Linked DNA regions of Saccharomyces cerevisiae S288C. Each later gene encodes a partner of the first gene's protein in a complex. Each region holds a gene or a part of one and is shown on either strand. Other genes may lie near its edges. A codon is read from its position in the direction of its gene.

Region 1 (3,086 bases):
TTAAGGCACTACAGACTCCATTCTCACAAGTTTGTCAAAAGCACGAGCGCGATGAGAATTAAAGTCAGATCTGGTTAATGATTCTGGTACAACAGCAGAAACAAATCGAGTACAAATTTAATCTTATTCTGTCGCAATAGTTGACTTTCTTTTCTGGCCTCTCGAACAAAAAGCATGACCGTTTCCAACATTGGGGGGGAAGAACGACTAATAATTTTACCAGACGATTATGAAACTTCGAAAACTATAAACACTTTTACACTGCCGCCACCTTCCAATATTACATCCAAACCTCGTATCGAGCTCTTCGAAAATATTAATGGAAAACTTTACGAAATAAGATCTTTTCAATTCGGCAAAGGGCCCTCGTATTCACATGAGGAAGATTTGGCAAATGATAAATATCACTATACTAAGGAAAATCACCCGATCAAATCAACTTTCATTGTAAATACGTCTGATCCCACCGATGGTTATGTTTTTAACTCAAGCAAAATACACTTTTGTTCTTTATACGATATTGCTTTTAGTTTGATTGGATTTTACTATAGAAACAGTGTTTCAGCAGATGAACAAGATTACTCCAATTCAAGTGATACTGGTGAAAACCAAAAAAGCAACAGCAAAACCAATGAGAAATTTCTTACGGTGCGTGATTACCATGATTTCTTAACGGATAACCATGACAAGAATTGGGAAAACATTTCTTTAAGTCGTCTCAAGAGTGGCTTAGCAAAAGTTAGTGAAACCATTGAGGAAGCTGGTGACGTCTATTACAAGATCACATCTGCAATGATAACACAATTTTTGTTAGGCAAGGTATCAAAAATTGTAGAAAACTTTCCTCCAAGTATCCCTACACTTAAAAATGCCCCAACGGAAATAAAACAGTGCTACAAGGTAGTTATGGCTACAAATCTTTTAGTTTCCCTGATTCCAAGGGCGGCCTACCATAATTTACTTACCTTTTCACCTACAATGGATAGTGGTTGCCTAAATCCGGATATAAAAGCTAGCTTCATAGAACTCGAAAACTACGAGACTACGAACGAATTACAGAATGCTGAAAGAGAATTACTGATGAAAAGTGCCATGAATGTAGGCCTAAATTCGAATGGCAGGGTTTCATTGCCAGTGAAAAAAGTTACCAAAAAAATAGTTCAAAATAAAAAACCAAAAGTAGCCATAGGAAAAGGGGCCATTGATGGATTTTTTAAACGTAAGTAGCTAGTATCATAATTAAACAGCAATTTGAATGCTATAACTCGGTGGTGATGACCTCAGTGCGAGATAATTACACAATATTGTCACTACCAACGAATGGGCTACCTTTTTTTTCCTTTCTCGAATTCAAGAAAAAATTAACAACTTTTCCCTCGATGATGTTAACAAATGTCTGAATATAAAGGAATAGGAAACGGTTGCTAGATTGTATTTACCTTACCAACTTTCAAGTTTTTTTTCTAACTTCCTAACTTTCAGTCTCGATACATTAATCAACAGGACGTAGTGATTGCAAAATTGTTCAGAATATACATTAGATTAAAAGACAAATGGCCAAAGACATTGAGATATCCGCATCCGAGTCAAAATTTATCTTAGAAGCACTGAGACAGAATTATAGGTTGGACGGCCGCTCCTTTGATCAATTTCGTGACGTGGAAATAACGTTTGGTAAAGAATTTGGTGATGTTAGCGTAAAAATGGGCAACACCAAAGTTCACTGCAGGATTAGTTGTCAAATAGCACAACCATACGAAGACAGGCCATTTGAAGGATTATTTGTAATATCTACAGAAATATCTCCTATGGCTGGTTCTCAATTTGAAAATGGAAATATCACGGGGGAAGATGAAGTTTTATGTTCAAGAATAATTGAAAAATCTGTTAGGCGGTCGGGCGCATTGGACGTGGAAGGACTATGTATCGTTGCTGGCAGTAAATGCTGGGCTGTGAGAGCTGATGTACATTTCCTGGATTGTGATGGTGGATTTATTGACGCTTCGTGTATTGCCGTCATGGCAGGATTGATGCATTTTAAGAAACCAGATATAACTGTCCATGGCGAGCAGATCATTGTTCATCCTGTTAATGAAAGAGAGCCAGTTCCACTAGGTATACTGCATATTCCAATATGTGTAACTTTTTCTTTCTTCAATCCTCAAGACACCGAGGAAAACATAAAAGGTGAGACTAACTCAGAAATTTCCATCATTGATGCAACATTGAAAGAGGAACTACTGCGAGATGGTGTATTGACGGTTACGCTAAACAAAAACCGTGAAGTGGTACAAGTTTCCAAAGCGGGTGGTTTACCAATGGATGCGTTGACGCTAATGAAATGTTGTCACGAGGCTTACAGCATTATTGAGAAAATAACTGATCAAATACTGCAGCTTTTAAAGGAGGATTCAGAAAAGAGAAACAAGTATGCAGCCATGCTTACATCTGAAAATGCCCGCGAGATCTAATATTAACGAAAAAACTGAAATAAAAGCAACGCTTATACATATACATGCATGCATTAATATATGTATATATATCGGTACGTATAGATTGTAAAATTACACTTACTACTAAAGGCAGTATGAAAGACGCCCGCAGTTTTTTTCCTACTGTTTTCTTGACTGCGGTGTTCAAAAACATAAAAATCATTAAATTACTATAAAACAAACGCATACTGCGAAGAAAAAAGGCTCGGCTATAAATGCATATGAGAAAATATTATCTTTTGCCTCCCTGCTTAATTTCTGAAGGCATGTACTATCCAAAAGAAAAATCTTGAAAGAAAACAAATCCCATTATTCTTATTATTAAAACAAAAACTTCGTCATCGTCATCACATAAAAAAGACCTACCATTGTCAAACTGTACAACAGCAACACAATAATAATGACGATGATGAGTTCCTCGAGAAACCCTAGAACGGCGTTATAACACTGTTTGAGGGTATTACTTTTTCCACTACTCTCGTGGCGCGGAAGACCTGCTTCCAAATCTACTGTGTAATCAATACACTTAACCTCCTCTCTCTCCCCTTGTGCGTCAGAAAACTCTGCCTGTCTTATTTCCTTCTCCTGTTGTCC
Region 2 (3,331 bases), on another chromosome or scaffold:
AATGGTTATTTTCGACAATGAAGATGAAGAAGGGCAGCGCTGTTTGAAGGGAAAGGGAATGCAAGACTAGGAAATATGGATTCAGCTAGCACATTTATGAGTAAGGGGAGGTGTTATTCAGTGCAAAAACTAGTGAAAAAAAAAAATAGGAAAAAAGATAAAGAGATGACAGAAAGCTAAACGCTTACAAGAAAAATGATGGATCGTAAACACGCAATCCAACAAATCGGCGGTGATGGTGATGATGAATCATCTCCGGAGGTTTGAAACTTAGAATCTGACATTTTTTCCCGCTTATTTTTGCGATTTTTTTTTTTGGTAGGATCAGGCGAGGTTGAACATCTCCCACGTTTCTCATTTCTTGGCTATTAAGGAGCCAAGAAATGAGAAAAGGCGAAAAAAAAAAAAAAAAAAGAAAAAAAAAAGTGTAAGTATGCCACATCTAAGAAGGGTGGCTACCACAAGGGTGCAGAGATTGCAGCAGTCCTTGCTTTCTTCAATTTTACTACTTCTTGTTACTCCTAGTCCGTGTGCTTGCGCAGATGTAAGTTGTGTTGAAACAACAAGCAGATGTAGTGGTCCCTGACGCTGGTTCCATCGGAAGATCCGATTCATTGTTTCCTTCTCTCCCTTCCCCGCTGACTGAGCGGAAAAAAAGATAAAAAAAAGAAGAAAAACCGGTGCGGGGCAGCAGGCAACTAAGAAAAACCGGAAAAAGGGTTGGCGTCAGATCGCTAGCAACGAGATTCCTCTTTTTTTTTCGATTTTTTGTTATTAGAGGAAGACGGCGCGACTGAGTCAGGCCGTAATCGGAATGGAAAACCGGGCGGCTACCGATCTTTGTCAGTGAAGAATATAAGATATGATGATTTCGTATATGTATATGAGTGTGTACATGTGACAAAAAAGATTGGAAACTTTAGTACATCCGCAAATAATGGATGGCAGTTTCATACCCCCAGAAACTCACAAAAGTGGTGGGTATTGTCTTGGAAAGGGCCACCAGAATACCTCTGTAAAGCGAACTCACACCTTCTTGTTTCAAAATCTGTAAACCGATTCTTGCGAATCCGTACCCTTTATAAGAACCGTATACAGACGAATGACGGGAGAACTTTTCCAGATGCTTCGAATTCATGAACTGCATTCGCCTACGGATCGTTTCGAGGGGGAAAGTAATGATCTTAGCAATGACGCCGCCAATGGTACCAGCGCTGTGATTTAAAGTAGCCAGTTCCCATTTTTTATGCGCGGCGGTCGTTTTTTCGTTTTCGTCACAGTATATCCTGATTGTTTCGTATGTTCCGAACATTATAGATGCGGTTAGAGTTATGGTTGTCATTGACGCGATGGAGCCCTTGAAAAATCCGGGGAGACCTTCTAGTTTCCAGATATCACGCACTTCTCTCGTGATGCTCATTGAGTGCATCTGGTTGTTGGCAACTAGTCGGGTCCGTAAAACATCGAACGGGTAGGAAACGATGGAACTGGTTATGCCAGCAAAGGCTCCGACAACAAGACTATGTAAGCGCGCCTCTAGTCCAAATGGAGTTAAATATCTATTAAAAAGGGAGTATGAACTAAACTGCGCTGAGCCATAGGTAACGTACAGCAAAGAACCGGGTATGTTACCCTTCCAAAAGGACCGGATGCCTTCGTTCTTTATCATGCTTCTGGCCACCTCCATGACCTGACTTCCGAAGGGCTTCAGCCCATTTGCAGGGGTCAATTGCAATCTGATCTTAATGGTATCCATGGGAGCAGTTATGCTACGGGCAAGCAGCCCGGATACGGCGCCAGCCAACAAAGTTTTCCACGCGGCCACATTTTGCCCTTTTCTTAACGAGTCCTCCTCTTTGAACATATCAACATTTATGTACTTTGAATGGTTTATATAAAGCTCCAGACTATGCCAAGTTAAAGGTGACAAAATAGCGCCTTTTCTTCATAAAGACTATTATGTACCTCTCTTTTTCTTTTTACTACTTTTTTTTTCCTTTTAAGCGCATCGGATTGTGGAAAAAAGAGTGGAAAATTTGTTAGATGAACCAGTTAAGATGCATAAAATATCTCTGCATATATGGTAATAACAAGGAGCCCAATACCAAGAATAGATTAGATTCTGCTGAAAAAAAAAAAAAAATGAGCGTCCAAGCAGAAATAGGGATATTAGATCATGTAGATGGTTCATCTGAATTCGTATCACAAGACACCAAGGTTATTTGTTCTGTAACAGGCCCTATTGAACCAAAAGCAAGACAAGAACTGCCTACACAATTAGCATTAGAAATTATTGTACGTCCCGCGAAAGGGGTGGCCACAACAAGAGAGAAGGTACTCGAAGATAAATTACGGGCAGTTCTGACCCCACTCATCACTCGTCATTGTTACCCAAGACAGCTCTGCCAGATAACTTGTCAAATTCTGGAATCTGGTGAAGATGAAGCCGAATTCTCCCTGAGAGAGCTAAGTTGTTGTATAAATGCGGCATTTTTGGCTTTAGTTGATGCAGGAATTGCCTTAAATAGTATGTGCGCAAGCATCCCTATTGCAATAATCAAAGACACTAGTGATATCATTGTCGATCCCACTGCCGAGCAATTGAAGATTTCGCTCTCTGTCCACACTTTAGCTCTGGAGTTCGTCAATGGCGGTAAAGTCGTGAAAAACGTTTTATTGTTAGACAGCAATGGTGATTTTAATGAAGATCAATTGTTCAGTTTACTGGAGCTGGGTGAGCAAAAGTGTCAAGAACTTGTCACAAATATAAGAAGAATAATACAGGACAATATATCACCTCGTCTAGTTGTATAGCCATTATAGATTATAATATACCACAACATGCTATGTCGTATGCCGGAGACTACCTCTTATATTTGGAAATAGTTATTATTCAATGTTCTAAAATTCTTAACATTTTCGTTGTTACATATACATAGCATATATATATATATATATTACATTAATTTTTATCTACCTTCAATCTACAATTTCAAACGCTTCAAGTTTTCAATAGTAGCTTCCAAACCTTCGATTTCGGCAACAGTGTTATCCAGCTTGCTTTTATTGGCTTCCTTGGCCTGTGTATTAGCCTTTGTTTCGTAATCCTTACTGTTAATGGTTTGTTCAATACCGTTCTTGGATTTTTTAGCCTTTTCAAGTTTCTTTTGAACTTTCGCAATTTCAGCATCAATATCAACGTGTCCCTTGACGAGAAGATGTACATTGACTTCTGGGTTAACAGATTGCAATACGCAACCTTCTGGAATTTCGGAAGCATCACGAACAACAGTGACTTCGTCGATGGCCTTGATCAACGAGACAATAGAAT

The links. Proteins that work in one complex are often made in the same cells at the same time.
Region 2: the proteins of RRP45 (region 1) and RRP46 are in contact, whole or in part, in a crystal structure (PDB 5OKZ), measured with the Saccharomyces cerevisiae proteins. Residues at the interface, in NP_010566.1 of Saccharomyces cerevisiae: Lys3 (codon at 1,560), Asn53 (codon at 1,710), Lys55 (codon at 1,716), His57 (codon at 1,722), Arg59 (codon at 1,728), Ser61 (codon at 1,734), Ser80 (codon at 1,791), Glu82 (codon at 1,797), Ile83 (codon at 1,800), Ser84 (codon at 1,803), Pro85 (codon at 1,806), Met86 (codon at 1,809), Ala87 (codon at 1,812), Gly88 (codon at 1,815), Ser89 (codon at 1,818), Glu92 (codon at 1,827), Asn93 (codon at 1,830), Arg135 (codon at 1,956), Asp137 (codon at 1,962), His139 (codon at 1,968), Leu141 (codon at 1,974), Asp142 (codon at 1,977), Cys143 (codon at 1,980), Asp144 (codon at 1,983), Leu225 (codon at 2,226); in NP_011609.2 of Saccharomyces cerevisiae: Ile9 (codon at 2,167), Leu10 (codon at 2,170), Asp11 (codon at 2,173), His12 (codon at 2,176), Val13 (codon at 2,179), Ile27 (codon at 2,221), Cys28 (codon at 2,224), Ser29 (codon at 2,227), Thr31 (codon at 2,233), Ile34 (codon at 2,242), Glu35 (codon at 2,245), Lys37 (codon at 2,251), Glu49 (codon at 2,287), Ile51 (codon at 2,293), Arg53 (codon at 2,299), Pro54 (codon at 2,302), Ala55 (codon at 2,305), Lys56 (codon at 2,308), Gly57 (codon at 2,311), Val58 (codon at 2,314), Ala59 (codon at 2,317), Leu87 (codon at 2,401), Gln89 (codon at 2,407), Thr91 (codon at 2,413), Cys92 (codon at 2,416), Gln93 (codon at 2,419), Leu95 (codon at 2,425), Glu96 (codon at 2,428).

The regions. Positions count from the first base shown.
Region 1 is NC_001136.10:1,019,194-1,022,279, forward strand, and holds RRP45 (exosome non-catalytic core subunit RRP45), read left to right. Parts: upstream 1-1,553; coding exon 1,554-2,471; downstream 2,472-3,086. Other genes in the region: RNH202 (Rnh202p), read left to right, coding at 175-1,227; PHM6 (Phm6p), read right to left, coding at 2,814-3,086. UniProt on the Saccharomyces cerevisiae protein: Non-catalytic component of the RNA exosome complex which has 3'->5' exoribonuclease activity and participates in a multitude of cellular RNA processing and degradation events.
Region 2 is NC_001139.9:675,154-678,484, reverse strand, and holds RRP46 (exosome non-catalytic core subunit RRP46), read left to right. Parts: upstream 1-2,142; coding exon 2,143-2,814; downstream 2,815-3,331. Other genes in the region: thiamine transporter TPC1, read right to left, coding at 920-1,864; VAS1 (valine--tRNA ligase), read right to left, coding at 2,985-3,331. UniProt on the Saccharomyces cerevisiae protein: Non-catalytic component of the RNA exosome complex which has 3'->5' exoribonuclease activity and participates in a multitude of cellular RNA processing and degradation events.